3 linked regions of the Xenopus tropicalis genome follow. The protein of the gene in region 1 interacts with the protein of each later gene in a pairwise test. Links are inferred from orthologs where the notes say so. Each region holds a gene or a part of one and is shown in the gene's direction. Other genes may lie near its edges. The genes, in order: wdr6, g2e3 and ptpn3.

Evidence for each region.
Region 2: the proteins of wdr6 (region 1) and g2e3 interact in a two-hybrid assay, tested with the Homo sapiens proteins (2 studies listed by BioGRID and IntAct). The two-hybrid records come from large-scale screens. The link is inferred for Xenopus tropicalis from reciprocal best matches to the Homo sapiens genes WDR6 and G2E3.
Region 3: the proteins of wdr6 (region 1) and ptpn3 interact in binary tests that used the Homo sapiens proteins (3 or more experiments, as listed by UniProt). The two-hybrid records come from large-scale screens. The link is inferred for Xenopus tropicalis from reciprocal best matches to the Homo sapiens genes WDR6 and PTPN3.

What each region holds. Positions count from the first base shown.
Region 1 is NC_030680.2:136,673,606-136,678,653, forward strand, and holds part of wdr6 (WD repeat-containing protein 6), read left to right. Parts: intron 1-101; 5' UTR 102-174; coding exon 175-241; intron 242-1,207; coding exon 1,208-3,662; intron 3,663-4,525; coding exon 4,526-4,621; intron 4,622-5,048. UniProt on the Homo sapiens protein: Together with methyltransferase FTSJ1, methylates the 2'-O-ribose of nucleotides at position 34 of the tRNA anticodon loop of substrate tRNAs. Required for the correct positioning of the substrate tRNA for methylation.
Region 2 is NC_030684.2:113,027,457-113,032,979, forward strand, and holds the start of g2e3 (G2/M phase-specific E3 ubiquitin-protein ligase), read left to right. Parts: upstream 1-1,835; 5' UTR 1,836-2,023; intron 2,024-4,342; 5' UTR 4,343-4,366; coding exon 4,367-4,403; intron 4,404-4,546; coding exon 4,547-4,644; intron 4,645-5,188; coding exon 5,189-5,290; intron 5,291-5,523. UniProt on the Homo sapiens protein: E3 ubiquitin-protein ligase which accepts ubiquitin from an E2 ubiquitin-conjugating enzyme in the form of a thioester and then directly transfers the ubiquitin to targeted substrates. Essential in early embryonic development to prevent apoptotic death.
Region 3 is NC_030682.2:75,075,346-75,081,126, forward strand, and holds the start of ptpn3 (tyrosine-protein phosphatase non-receptor type 3), read left to right. Parts: upstream 1-2,352; 5' UTR 2,353-2,529; intron 2,530-5,781.

The sequences.
Region 1 (5,048 bases):
TAGTGATCATTTATGTATAAAGCTTTAAAAATAACTTGGCAACAGTCACTTGCTCTTTATTGCCTGCAGCCAACAGTGACGCTACTTATTGATTTCTGCAGGATGTTCCTATTGCAGTGTAGAACCGGTCTGATGGATTCTCTGGTTGGAGGTTGAGAAAAACCATAAGCAGAAATGGAGTCTCTGCTGCTGATTGCACCCATTACAGCGCTGGAGTTTGTTGGCGACCATCTCCTGTCTGGTAGGTTGTAGTATAAATACAAAGTTCTAAGATTTAGGTAACTGACTCTGCTATATGGGAAAGAATATGAGAAGGTTAAACTGGGTTATGGCTGCAGAATTGCTGCTAAAATTGAATATTTAGCAGTAAAAAAAAAAAAGCAGCTAATACATTTGCACTTTAGCATCTGATGGAAACCCTATAACCAAGGATCACATCTGAGGCTAGAGAGTGTGGTTGTAGTGAAATAAAAAGAACCTGCAAACCCTGGTTCCTTGTTCTTGTTGTGGGTTCATCTTTCTTGCACACCACAGAGAAGAACTTCTTTATTGCACAGTTGACCCATTAAATCCTTGTTTATTCACTGAAAGCTTAAGGTTTCACCATTTCAAAGAGCGTTACCCAAAGTTGGTCACACTCCTCTCTCTTTTGCTATTCAATTCCTACTCTTTCTTTACAGCAAATGTTTTAATTTCCAACTTTTTACCTTTAAAGGATAAGTTAACCTTTGAATAAGTAAATGTAAAGTTGATGAGAGTGCTATCCTAAGCACCTTTGCAATTCATATTTATTATTGAATAATATTCATTATTGATGATGGTTGGAAACTGACCAGCAGGTGGTGCTGTTGTAGCAAAATTCTTTATATTAACAGTACATATTTCCATTAATTTCTTCAAATTAAAAATAAATTAATAATGCAAATTGCAGAAATGATTAAAATAGCACTTTTATCAATTTTATATTCACTTATTAAAACAACAATGGGTGGCACATCCAGCTCAGTTGTCTAATGTCTTCTGTCAAAATGCATTGGGGCCTGTTTAGCTTAACTGTGGATCATAGTTTATGAGAACTGTAAGATGTAAATGTGTCAATTCAGCAGAATTGGCCATTCAGCTTGGCTTGTTACCAACCCCTTTTTGCAAGCTGCCCCTGGGGTTTTACATGGAGTGTGGGTAAATTATATTTTTATATTCATTGCAGGTGAAGGCCCTTATCTCACTGTGTATAGTTTGGAGAAAGATCACCTTATCTCACATAGGAAAAGGCAGAATGTTCTCCAAGGTTACACTATCCATGGCATAAAGCTCAATTCTTCTGCTACGGTTGAAGGTGAACCCATGATAGTTGCTGTGTTTGGAAGCAAGGGGCTTATCGTTCTGCAGCTGAACATCAGTGATGATGACGTGAGCCTAACAGAAATCTGTATGCTCAGAGAACTACATGACTGGATTTGGGATGTACAGTGGCTTGGAGACTGCCTAAAACCAGCAGCGTACCTTGGTTTAGCCCTAGGCCACAACTCCGTGGCTCTTTATGATTTCTTAAGTGGGAAGGTTCTAAAAGAGGTCCATTGTGCTGAGAAATGCATCTTGTACTCTGCTTGTTTCTACGGTCACAGCTGGGAGGAACTGGTGCTGGTTTCCGGGACCGTTTTTAACCAGCTAGTTGTTTGGGGAGTGTCAGATCCAACAAATAAAGATGGACGAACAGAACCAAGGCAAAGGATAAGCGGCCACAATGGTGTCATATTTAGCATCTTTTATAAAAAGAAAAGAGGTCTTTTAGCTTCCGCCTCTGATGACCGCAGTCTTAGGATTTGGGATGTCGGCGACCTTGTGGCTAAGAGTTTTGATGTCAAGTGCCTTCTTGTGTTGTATGGGCATCAGTCTCGAGTGTGGTCAGTAAAGCTGCTTCATGAAAACATTATCAGCATAGGGGAGGACTCCGCGTGCATCGTGTGGAATTACCAGGGGGACATTGTCAGTCATTTCAAAGGCCACAAAGGTCGAGGCATCAGAGCAGTTGCTGTACAAGGCCGGGAAGATTTGGTAGCTACTGGAGGGGCAGACTCTGCCATTAGACTCTGGCAAATAAATGGAAAGTCTTCTAGGTCCAACGAGCTCCTTTCATTACAATTTAGTTCATCTCATAGCCCAGGGGCTCCAAAGGCCATTGCTATGGTAGATACCACTTTGCTCATTGTTATGACAGATTTAGGTTCCATCTATACATACGATTTTATTTCCAAAAAGTGGAGTTTTATTCTCACAGATGAGAACTATAAATCCTACTGTCAACTTGATATTTATAAAACATCTAACAATGTCTTATGCGCTATTGGGAACATAACAGGGGAAATCAAGATTTTTAGTCTTTCCTCTCCTAAAATTTTCAAGGACCTTAAATGTCACCAGGGTAAAATACATAGCCTGAGCTGGGTAGCGCCTTTATGCCCTGGGTCATTCACTTGCGGTCTTTTCTCATCTGGCCCATACGGTCTGATGGTGTGCTTGGAGGTCACGTGTGTTTCTGGATATGTTGAATCTGTGGCAGAAAAGGGTCGGTTTGTTTTGCCAGCATGTAAGCAGAGGTGGCATACCAGTGTGGCCTTCCTCCCTGATGAGGAATTCATAGTGTGTGGGGATCGTAGAGGCTCATTAATGTTATTTCCCATGAATGCCACAAACAGAGGACAAGACCTCTTCCAGGGGGCCATTCAGAGTGAAAGTGGTGCCTTACATTTGAAGGAGAATGTAGATGATTTTGTAGGTGAACAAAGACCCAACTGTCCCTCAACTGCCTGCTCAGTGCTATCTGTGGAGGGTCCTGTTTCACTTTTGTTTGGCATTCATGGCAAGTTAGGGGTAACATCCATCAGTTGCCACAGTGGGTTTGTGTACAGCACAGGGCGGGATGGATTTTACCGTCAGCTGAAGGTAGAGAGAGGCCAGCTAACTCTGCTGCGCAAACTTAAGTCCTGCAAGGGAATGGAATGGATAGAGCGCCTGTCATTTACTGCTGATGGCAATTTGTTAGTGATGGGTTTCCATGCCACTGACTTTGTGGTTTGGAGTACAAGAACCAATGAGAAGCTTCATTGTGTCCCATGTGGAGGAGGGCATAGGTCATGGAGTTACAGAAAAGAAGAACACACTGAGGTATTTGCTTATATCAAGTCTTGTGATATTTTTGCCTATTTGAGCCACCCGGTTGGGAAAACCCAAAGCATATTAAAAGAGCCAGTGCATGGCAGAGAAATAACCTGTGTCAAATACGCGGGGTCCCTTAAAACTTACGAGCACCTACATGTTTTATTAACAAGCAGCGAAGACACCACTGTGAACATATTATGCTTCAATGCGGCAACAAACAGTCTGTACCAACTTTCAACAATTAGCGATCATATCTCTAGTGTAAAAGCCCTGGCTTTAGCACAAACTAAGCCTTGTTTCCAGCAGGACAGCAGCCTATCTGCCGTGCTGTTCAGTGCAGGAGGGAGGGCAGAGATAGAGTGCTATCATATACAGATTAACCAAGGCAAGGATGAAGAAAGTGTCTTGTGCCAAGTAATCCACCTTGCGTCCCACAGACTGGATGAGCACTGGGACCGAATGAAGAATAAGCACAGACTTGTCAAGATGGATCCAGAAACCAGGTAACTTGTCCAGTCATCTCATCAAGCCTCAGTGTGTCACTATAGCGCATCTGTTCATTTATAGTTAGCTGATTCCATCATAGAAATATATTTAATAGGGAATTTCACTCTTTTCCAAGATGCAGTTTTGGTAGTGATGCTTACAGTGTTAAAGGCACGGTTATTGCCTGTCAATGGCATTTGAGGCCTAGGGGCAAACAAATAATAGTCCTACTTCATCCAGTTCAAAGGGCCACCAAAGTATGAACTTTGCAACATAGTTAAACAACAACAAATAAATGTAAAATCTGTTGCCTTTAGCATGTGTGGCAACTATGACCATGATGAACGAGTGTCTTATAGTGGATATTTATAAGGAAGAAATGGGACCACAATTTCTGTGTTTTAATTAAATAAAATGTGCAGCATTTATGAAAGGAAAGATTTTGATACATTATATGTACTTCTCATTGTGGGCGGTAGGTGGCGCTAATGATCAGTCTAACTGTAGTAATAAAGTCAATGGCCCTGTTGGTTACTGTGAGCCCACAGATTGATTCCTGACAAGCAGAAACACTTATCAGGTGGTGCTGCACTGTGTAGCCTTCTGTTGGAAAATTTGGACATTGGGTCAAGTTACATAAAGTCTAAATTGCTCTTTAGAGCTTACAATCAAAGCTTTCCTTAAAAGGTGTATGCTTTTAATATTATAGACTTAGAAACTGCCTCCCATTGTGCCATTGCCCTAAGAGACTGAGGTGCCAGAAGTGGTTTTATAAACTGAACTACTGCATTGTTTTCTAAATCAGTTCTTCAGATACAGTGAAGTTCTGCTGCAATAGCAATGTATTTAACATCTTCTAATGTTCCATCCATCCTTTCAGGTACATGGCAATCACAGTGGTTGGTGAGGAGGTTCGTGACAACCCACCTTCCAGTTTGGTGTTTCTTGCTGCAGCCTGCAGTGATGGATCTGTAAGGTGTGTACTACACTGGCATCTGGTAAATAACTGACAAAAGGGGTTTTAGGTCCCCAAGTTTGTCCTCAGGTCCCACCAAATAGTGCACTATTGTACAGGTGAACCTATCAGATTGTATTCACTTATTAAACCATGTCTGATGTGAGTATATCCAGTATTTCTTGCTGGTGCTGACTGACTTAAAGAAAAACTATACCCCCAAACACTGTAGGTCTCTATAAAAATATATTGTATAAACCAGCTCATATGTAAAGCCCTGCTTCATCTAAATAAACCATTTTCATAAAAATATACTTTTTTAGTAGTATGTGCTATTGGGTAATCCTAAATAGAAAATTGCCATTTTAAGAATTAAGGGCCTCCTGCTGGGATCATTGGATTCACATTGCACACAAACAAGCCAAGGCACACATACATGCTAGGCCCC
Region 2 (5,523 bases), on another chromosome or scaffold:
CTACAATTACACCGGCTGATTATAAATGCTTTCCAAGGCCACATATGATATGGATGCTTTTCTATTGTTCTGCTTGTCTAGGCAAACAGCAGGAAGTGACTCCTTTTTAATTCACTTCTGGCAATGCATTTTTTGGTATATTGTAGAATTCTGGGCCAAATAAATTGAATCGAATTGAGTCCACAACACCAAGCCTTATAGCTTAGGAAAAAAATTATTTCTAACAATAAAAACTTACAGAGTCAGAGCAGATACAAATGACTAGCAACAGAAGAGTGACTGGAAGGCAGATAAAGGCTAACCAAAGTCTTTGTGCTTCAGTGGTGGTAATCTGATAGCCTTGCCCACAGTTGGAGCTCAAATTGTTCGGACCTTCTCGGTGGTAGGAGTAAGGAATGAGCTCTCTCACTCAAAATTTCAGCCAGTTTATATACAGATCTTAGAATAATAAACCGCTTTACATAATATATCCAACTGCCGAATAGTTAGGCACCCCCAAGTGACTTAGATCGCTTACCTTTTACCCCGGGCTGGTGCCCCTGTTAGGAGAAAACCGCACCAGCCCGGGGTACCTGCAGCGCTTCCTTCTTCCTGTATCGCCGCGCGCGCATGCGCAGTAGGGTGAATAGTGGAACTTTAACAGAGAAGTCGGCTTTTCACTCTACTGTGCGCCTGTCATTTAGTCGTTGTAAAACAAAGCAGGAGGGAGGAAGCGCTCCGCTGCAGGTACCCCGGGCTGGTGCTGTTTTCTTTTAACAGGGTCACCAGCCCGGGGTACAAGGTAAAGCGATTAAAGTCACTTGGGGGTGCCTAATATTTTGGCACCCCCAAGTGACTTTGCCTTTCCTTCTCCTTGAAGTCCCTGTGTGTGTAGTACCCTTTCTTTATATATATATCATGAATATATGACAAAAACAACATATATCTATTTCCCTATACATACCATTTAAATATTTCAACATATAAGATAAAATATATGTACCCCCTTTGCTCTTTAATATGTATAAATTAGCCAAAAATATTCTATTGTGCCTAAAGCTCAGGGTTATAATGACCCTTCTCACATATCCTAAAATAACCTTTTTGACCCAATAGTTCTTCATCAGAGAATTTTGACGTATCTCCTATTCTGTAGATCTCTCTCCAGACCCCCAATCCTCATAAAACAGGGATGGTGGGCTACAATGCACAGGCCCAGACTGGCAATCTGTGGGTTCCCTGTGTGTAATTGTGTACATTGTAAGATTGTACAGCGCTGCGTACCCTTGTAGCGCTTTATAAATAAAGTTATACATACATACATTCTGGCAAATAGTCAGAGGGGCTGCTGTAAGATGCCAAAGTCACTATTTATTAGGCTGTTCGGGCCTCAGTGTAATTGAAGTGTCAGGGTCTATATTCAATCCCAGTCCAAAAAGATGGGCTGGGGATGTTCTTTTCTTCATAGGGCTAATGTCCATCAGTGCAACAGCTCTATACGTTACGTACACTAATGTTCAGTGTAACTATGAAACAAGGGCATTATAACTACCACTTACAAATGTCTATACGAATTAGAAGCCTCTAGTCACAACGGAAGAAGAAGCATTATGCCACCACCCACAATCCAATTTTAGTCCTACATTCCTAAACTAATGTAAAAAAACAACGTTATGGAATGCTGATATCATCAACTGCAGCGACGCAAAGACGCCTAACAACAAACCTAATCGTAATGGTCTCTCAAATGAGTCGTGTTTGCGTTCCAAATGGCACCGGAAGTCATGTACACAAAAAAAGGCATTGAAAGCGAGGCTTGAGCGCAAAGGGAATCCCGCCTTCTGATGACGTACAGGTGCCTCCTCCAATGGTAATTCCGTGTTGTTGAGAGGGTTCCTAGATGGTGCCGGATGTTAGGGTTTGAATTTGTGGGCAGTTTTAAAACATCGATCGTGGGAAGTGTAAGTTGAAGGTATAGGAACAGGAACGGAACCGAACACCGCAATCTTTGGAATTGGAAGGCAGCGCAGTGTGGCGCATTCAGGTACTGTACTGGGTATGTGGCTGGATCTTTGTATTGGGACGTGCTGGCTGCCACTTAGCGCGCAATCGGCCTTCTATGTGTCCTCTCGGGTTTATGTGGCACTTTATGTATTTATAAATCCGTTCTACGGACATGGCTCCGTCAGAAACACAAACACACCAAGTATATGCTGATGCTCCCATAGTAACGTGTGTGTTTACATTGAGTTGTAAACTTTATGCCTGTCCCATTCGAGCCTTGTTTGTTATAAGTGGGAAACCAGCCTGCCTCTGAGAGTGTGTGAGCTTGGAGACAGCTAAATGGGAATAAAACCTTATTAAACATTACTAGTGCCCCTCTGGGCATTTTTTAAGGGTTAGTTCATTATGTCTAAATTCCACAGGACTTTCCAATTAGAACATATGGTGCCCTCTGCCCCCCCCCCCCCCCCATCCTGTCATGGTATTGCCCTTGGCTTGTTAGTACTGAACAGCACAACTATGCCCAGCCAAGTACAGTCAGTGGGCACCTGAGAGTGGCAGAGGCAAAGCCCCATCATGCTACATTATAGAATATTGTTTTATACACTAATATAGTGTAAGAGTGCTCTTTACCCAAGATGTCAGGCAAGACTTACTGTGCCTCCATATTCCCAAATGTTTTGAAGGTGTTTGTAAATGGGATCGAGGCATAGCTTATGGTAAATGATAGTTTAATTAACTGTATTCTGTTAATGTAGCAGTGCAGTATAAGAATAAATGTAATAGAATGTTTGGTAGAAACTCACTGAGAACCATTTGCATCTAGGCCAGACATCTGTGTGCTAATTGTATTTGCTAACATTTGGATATGTATGCAGCTTTTGTTTGTATCAGTCTCCTGCAACACAATGCAGGCACATTATGACAACACGGGAAGAATATAATCAAGTGTATAGATATGCATGGAATCCATGAATCCACCCCATGTTTGGGATGAGAACTGCCTGTGTTAATGGTGTCAAGCAGTTACCAATGAAGTGAGAACTAGTAGGTGCGGTTTCAGGCACTTCTCCAGATTGTGAAACAAGGCAGCCAACAAAATGGCCCACAGGGCTCATATTAATATCAGGAACCTGCAAGAAGCACAAAGCTAAAATTTGGTTGCAGCGAGTTACTGCACGAGGGCAGACTTTCCCAACTTGAAATGAGCCACTGTGTGCTCCTTAGGGTGTTTTAGTGTGCCAAGAAATAATAACCTTTAAATTAACACTTTGGAAAAAGAAGTACTGAAAGCAGCACTTCCATACAGTTCCTCTCAGTGAAGCTGCTCTTTGCTTTTTTTTTTTTTTCCAGACTCCAAACATTATTAAAAAAGTGGCATAATAAATACATGGAAGGTTTCCAAAGCCAGTGAGCCTAGCAATCAGATTTACATTTAAATTCCAACCTGGTGAGCTCCAGACAAAAATATCATTCATTCTATGCACATGTTGTAACAATGCATGGAGCTGCCACTTTGCTTTCTTAAAAGACAGCAAGTAAGCTGGGTTCAGGGGAGGTGCAGACTGAAATGCAAATGTAAACGCTAATATCCAAAGACTGTGTCTCTATTGACAGACCTCTATTGCTTGGGGAACTGCATATTTAGGGAGTCGGAGTGAAAAGGGTATGCTGGACTGGGGCTGGAGTAAGATTATTTTCAAAATGTCACTTTTTCTCTATTGTACCACTTCCCATTATCCACTGTTCTACTGCTGTTCTTTCCATTCATTACTACTTTTCTGCAGTGCCCACATAGATCTGTTTTTCTTTCCAATTTAGTGCCTGATGTGGCCAGTGTTGACTTATCTCTGCTTTCCTTTATTGCTCATTTTGCTTTTTTCTGCTGTGCTCCACTAAGTAATGTTGACAAAGCACAGGCAGGGGAGCCAGCACAACATGCAGCTAAAAGCTGAGGTCAGGAAGCAGCACTAGGTACATGATTCTATGATGTGACCAGGGCCTATCTGTTTTGTGAGATACTGCTGACCAACTGAACAGGTGTATACATTAACATAAAGTTCATCTCCTAGGGGTATATGACAAACAGTAACCCCAATTGTTAGCAGTATATGTCAACCTTACAATGCAGTGGTGCTTTTTCATCAACTTGACTTGTTATAGTCTGCTTGTAAAATGTAGGCTAAATGTGTAGTCATAGACATCTTATTGATGCTTAAATGGTCAGAATCCACTTATATAGCACCAGAAAATTAAGCCGCTCTTTACAGTGGTATATCAACATTGGCAAACAAGGACCTGATGTGACATATGCTTAAATTCTCTTGCAATGCCATATTTATTTTTTTTTCCCCATCAGGTACTTTTAACCTGAGCTGCAAGAATGAGTCGGATCAGACGGAAGTCCTCAAAGAACCTGCGTAAGTATGATGCTCATATTCTCATGCTCCAGAGGCACAATAGACATAGCACATGTAAATCTCCATTCTGTATGCCTAAAGCAGAGCAATAGTGTTACTTCGAAATCTCAGAATAACTTAATTTTGTTATTTCTTCTTTTTAGCCTGCGTGTTTTGTGGCCTTTCAGATGACTGTGCTGAAAAATTTGGGGAGAAAAAGACCTACCCTGAACATGACTTGACCTTGCACTACTACTGTTTGGTAAGTTGTAATAAAACCTTGCCTGACATACAGAATATTACAACATAATTGCCCAAAAGGAAAACTATTATATTTCTACAAGGCCTGTTTTATAGAATAGGACCTAAATGCTCTTTTTTTTTTTTACTAGAGCAATCCGTTTTGTGTCAAGTTATTTTCACCTAAAATCTCATTACTTAAATGTTTCTGCCCACAATGCTGTTAAATATAATGCACTTAACTACATTAACTCATTTCATATAAGGCTGGCTAACAGTTATCCTAGTCTTTTTACCCCTTCCTCTTCACTGCCCTCTGTTCTTTTGCTTAGCATGTTTATTTTATCACTATGCATTGTGGTGTGTAAATAGTTTTACAAATAATACCTTTTGCCCCTGTTTAGCTCTTACATGTTTTATATTTATAATGATGACACTAGTGCAAGGTGCAGATAAGTTAATACAGTTTTCTTATTTTTTTTTTTTTCAACTGCTAATATGTATGCTTTACCTGTGCCTTGATTACGAAATATGAAAATACATCATGTAATGTGCTTTTTTTTCAGCTGCTGTCCAGTGGTATCTGGCAAAGAGGAAAGGAGAATGAAGGAATTTATGGGTTCCTTGTGTGTGACATTAAGAAAGAGGTTAACAGAGCAAACAAGTTGGTAAGAGTCCAGACCATATTATATTATAAAATCTTTCTGCCTCTTCAAAACCTAATTCTACAATAGTAGGAGTTCTAGTTATTTGCTTTTGATTTTCTATTTCCCTGAAACATGTAGTCTTGCCAGTACTTTTTATCCAAACTAATAAACCCAAATGGACTTTTGAGTGAGATGTAGCTTTGCAAGAAGTAAGATGTAGCTTTGCAAAGACGCGCCTGCCAGAGGTTGCTTAT
Region 3 (5,781 bases), on another chromosome or scaffold:
CTAGAGTAGCAGTACTATAGCTAATATAAATAAGCTGCTGTGTAGCCATGGGGGCAGCCATTCAACCTTGAAAAAAGGAGAAAAGGCACAGGCTACATAGCACATAATTGTATATATTGGGATCTATTTTTTGAATTATCAGCTATGTCCTACATTGAAAAAAATACATCAAACAAGTCCAACCTTTTGTCCCCAAAATACCTACCTGCTAGATGATTGTTTGTATAGTGAACACAAGTGGCCATACTGTATGTGCTTGTTTTCATGGGTTCCCAGTTTTTAACAGCGGCCCTGCCTGCAAGGGACCTGCAGAGAGCTTTGATTGTCGCTACTTGTAGCAGAGATAAAAACGGTACTAATCACACTAGATTGCTCCACCGACAGATCTGTTCCTACTCTTAAGAATTTTTGCATGGTTGTATGTTTTAGTTGCAAACACCTGCCTAGAAATATCATAAGGAATGTAATTCTACTGTACAGCCAACTATGGCATTATAAAAGACTAACGTGTAACATTCTCTAACTGACATACAATACTGCAGGGAAGGTAACTAAAATCATAAACATGCTATATAGTTAATAATAAGGGTGGCTCACCTTTAAATTATCTTTTAGTATGTTATAGAAATGCCTATTCTAAGCAACTTGTCCATTGGTCTTCATTATTTATTTCTTATAGTTTTTAAAATACTTGCCTTTTTCTTCTAACTCTTTGCAGCTTTCAAATGGGAGTCACAGTCCCCAGCAGCCAAAAAACTATTACTTGGTGAGGCTACAGTTTAATTGTCAATGTTAATTGTTTTTAAATTTAGGTCCTCTCTTATTCATTTACCATCCTTTCATTCAAATTGCTCCCTGGCCGCTAAGGTAAATTGGATCCTAGCAACCAAAAAGCTGCTTAAACTACAAACTGCAGAGCTGCTGAACAAAAAGTAAAATAACTAAAAAAACTACAAATAAAAAAAATGAAGACCAACTGCAAATTGTCTCAGAATATTACTCTCTACGTCAGTGATCCCCAACCAGTGACTCGGGGGCAACATGTTGCTCCCCAACCCCTTGGATGTTGCTCTCAGTGCCCCCAAACCAGGTAGTTATTTATGAATTCCTGACTTGGAGGGCAAGTTTTGGTTGAATAAAAACAAGATTTCCTACCAAATAAAGCCCCTGTAAGCTGATAATAGCCAATCACAGCCCTTATTTGGCACCTCCATGAACTTTTATGATGCTTGTGTTGCTCTCCAAGTCTTTTTACATTTGACTGTGGATCACGAGTATGAAAGGTTGGGGACAATAATTAAACACATTATTCAGTGAGAAACACAACCATTTATTGACTCAGAATTTAAATACAAAATTCAAAAAACAAAACATACTATACCAAATGGAAGGTACATCCCATGCTACATGGCACCCTCTCTCCTTCCTAACCCTGCTCTACGTCATACTAAAAGTAACGATTTTTCACTGAAGTTTTGCGAAACAATTCTCCAATGGCGAAATGCAAAAATTCGCTGCAAATCCATGCCTGACGAGAAAATTCGCTCATCGCTATTCATGTGGTTTGTCCCACATTATTAGCAGTCAGATAAAAATAATGGCATGGCAAAACCATTACATTGATATAACTACAACTATACTATAACAAGATTTGTGAATAATCACATATTGTAGTATTTTAGTAGCAGAGAATCAAACAATTAAAGGTATAGCTAACACTGAATATCTACCATACGTTTAATTAGGGCATTTTCACAACTTCATCAGCTGGGATTAAAGAAAAAAGAGTAGAAAACAATACAAACTGTACATATAAGGTGAAATGGAACTGCAACTGAACATAATTCTAGCGAGTGACTGTCTGCTCTGATTAGGATACCCATGCTAATGCACTGTGCCTGTACATGTAACAGCAGCACATAACCTCATGCTCCTCACGGAATGGCAGAAGGTTTAGAGTGACACTCAGCTTAGAGCGCTAGAGATTCCACCAGAACACAGTCAGCAGCACGCTCGGGCAGAAGAATGAGCCTGGGGGAGTGCAATCTACATTCTGTTGATATATTTTCTTTTGGAGAGCAGCTCAAGAGGCTCAGGGGAGGATCCAGCTGATGTCACACACAGAGGAGGGCTGAGAAAAGGAAAGGAGAAGCCATCAAACAGACGAGCTTTTTCCCTAAATGGATTACACTAGATATTAGTACTGAGAAGGCTGCTGTTAGGCTAATCAATGATAATAAAATATACATAGACAGCCTGATAGGTGGAGCCCCGCACCGACAAGAGGAAGGGGGAAGGTGGAGAAAGAAAGGAGGAGGCTTGTGTGTTGGAGTGGGACAGCAGTGCAGAGGTCTGGCTTCCTGTAATAGAAAAGAAGAAAAAGGGAGATATACCACCACCTGCTTTTTTTGTCAGGATCCAGAGGACGATACAAAAACTGCCCTGGATTTGTCCTTTCGGCTGTGGCAGGAGTGTCGGGCTGTGCTGGGTTGGCCAGAGCGATTCGGGAGGAGGATCTGAATGGTGCAGGTAAATCACTGCAGTAGGAATAGACAAGGCGCTGGTGCTGCACGGAAGCAACAGACTGTGCCTCGGTCACAATTGCGCACTGTAGGTGTGAGTCAGCCTGTCATTTCCCCCACGGGCCATACTGAGGGGCTTGGCTCGTCGCCTACCTGCAGGCTGGTGCTAACACTGCGCACACGATTGCTTAAGATGTTTAGAGGAAAACAGTATGTATTATTAAGGAAAGCTGTGCATAGAATTATATCTGTAATTGTAATCACACCCAAATGCTAAAATGATATGTGAAAAGAACAACACACTGCTGTAAAAGTTTTTTCTCTCAAAGTGGTACCGTACTCTGTTTCTGTTTGGCAAATTACATGCCTCAGATTTTAGTACGTTTCAGACAAAGTCATATTGTGTTCTGGTGGCAGTATGTGTGTATATATGTTCTGTGGTATAGACTTAGCAGTTGGGCCATATTATGCGCAGTAGTAGGGAAGTGACAGGTATGGGAAGGCCCTGCCAAGCCTCTCCTCTCCTGAGCCAACATAACTTGCTCAGCAATCTGACTTTGGTAGTTTCACCACTGACTTTATAGGGATTGTTGAGACAACAAGGATTGCTCAGTGAACAAGACAACTGTAGCCAAGGTTTGAAGAAGATGCATTTTTCTTACTTGAATTAAATTTCATACATTATTATTGTTTCCATACACCATATTTCAGTCACTTAATCAAAATACACTTTCATATTCAATAAGTACACTTTGTTATATTTAAAGTCATGTAAGTCCTGTTATGTCCCTTACACTCATGTGCCCCCCTTACTGGCCTTAGCCCTTTAATTAAAAGACCTGGTTAGGTTTGGGAATGTAACATAGTATTAGTGGCTTGCTTGGCTTTATTTTACATTTATTTAAAAGTGTTGTTATGAACATCAATATTTATCTTAGTGTAGGGATGTTACTTCCTTTTTATAAATTCTCATAGTATATATTTTGTTTAATCATGATATATAGCATATGCTGTATTGTATCTTGAAAGATCCATGTAAGAAGGGTTTTTGGTGTGAGAGAGATTGTAATTGTCTCTCTTGTCAAAAAGTTTTTCCTTTACAGGCATTGACAATTTAATCCAGTCACTTTGTTCCCAATGACAGTTTCTGTAGAGCCAATTAGTACAGAGTGTACTATATTGAGCCTTTATTTTTTCATTTAGAATTGATATAACTTTAAGATGCTCACTGATGTGTAAGTGAGAAATAAATATCAAGCAACAGTGGTGGCACAGCACTGGGTCAGAAAAAATGGCATTTGTCTGTGATGGATTAAGTGCACGTCAGTTGCATGTGTAGGCACAACATGCAGACAGTGAGCCCTGGAAGTTACTCCTTTTCAAGGCAAGTTTGTTGTGTGGTTTGCACTTTGCACCTCATGCAGAAGTGTAGAAGCAACCATCCTGTTTGCACATGTAGATGTTGAAGGGGTGTGTTGTTGCAAGTCCTTTTGTATTTGAATGTGTGCAACTTTATGCTTATTAAACCCTAGATCTGCGTAACAGATCTTGCCAAACTGGTGGATGTGATCTACTTTGACTTTGCTAAAGCATTTGACACAGTAAACCACAATAACAATCAATATGGTTTCTGTAGACTGCTAAAAAATAATTGCTGATTGGGTTTCTACTGACAGTTGAAATTTAGCACCTGCTTTTATAATTCATTGTGCTGGAGTTATTATAAAAAATTAAAATGGGCCATTTTTCAGAAGGTTGTGAATAGAAGTTTAAATGGCAATTCATAGATGTTCCTTTTCATTGCAGAATTAGACCTAGACCTAAACTGTAAGCAATGTATCACAATACATCTACATTTATACATCTTAACCCAGAAATTCAGTAAATTAGCACTGAGGCTCTCAAACTTGTACAGGAATTAGACCTGTTATCCAGAATGCTCGGGACCTGTGGTTTTCCGGATAAGGGATCTTTCTGTAATTTGGATCTCCATAACTTAAGTCTGCTAAAAATCATTTAAACATTGAATAAACCCAATAGGCTTGTTTTGCATCCAGTAAGGATTAATTATATCTCAGTTTGGATCAAGTACAAGGTACTGTTTTATAATTACAGAATTACAGAATAATTACAGAATTATTTTCTTATAATGGAGTCTATGGGAGATGGCCTTTCCATAATTCGGAACTTTCTGGATAATGGGTTTTCAGATAAGGGATCCCATACCTGTAGTATGTTACACTTTTAGTACAATCTTATGTCTTGTGGATATTAGTTGCAACCTAAAATAGGTAAAATCTGTTGAAAATAGCCATTAATAAAGGTTCATGCTGCAGAGTAGGAATCATTCTATTGCTTGAATTTGTTTATCAAATATAAAGATACTAATTAAATTAAAATCTGTGAAGTGAAATATAAGCAACTACAGCAGGCCTGACAATAAAGAGAACCAATTAAATACATTTGATTCAAAACATTTTCTTTCTTTTTTTTTTTTTTATTAAGGTGTTAACATCAGCAATATAGAGATAGAAAAGGGGACGAAAAGAGGGAAATATACAAGGCTTATACGAGCCTGGCACATTCATTAAAGGAGAAGGAAAGGCTAGTAAAGAGTTAATCTCAAACTGCAGGCATACCTTCAGTTGTCTCAATAGTGCCCTTAAGTCTCCCCATATTTCACCTGTTCAGAAGATCTGAAGCCAAACATGAAGAAAAAACGCTGAGCTGTGTAAAGAAAGTTCCCATAATCCTCGCTCCTGCACAGACACCGAGACCAAACTGAACATGCTCAGTTAGTAAGCCTATGAGTCAACTTCCTGCTGATTGGCTCAGATCCACATTCCTAAGGGGGGGGAGTGAGTTCTTAGCATTCTTGAGGGAGGGGGGAGCAGGAAAGAGCAGAGAACAGAAAGCTGCGTGTCTGTGGCACAGGAATTACAGATACAACTAATCTTTTTTTCAGAGAAGTCAGTGCAGCGTTTCTGTGAGTGCTTATGGCTGTATTTACATAGACCTTTCTGATAAAGCTTACTTAGTTTTTGCCTTTCTTTCTCCTTTAAGATTGTACTCTTAACCAGGGCTGGATTTACAAATTTGCCGCCCCGAGGCCGCCCCTGGACACACGCCCCCCCCCCGAGTGCGCATGCGTGCGTGACAGTGCGGGGGGTCTGCGAGCGCGCATGCGCGAATAGCAGGGGGGGGGGTCACAAGCGCGCGTGCGCCATAGGCCAAACTTGCATATGGAGCAGTGGGAGAA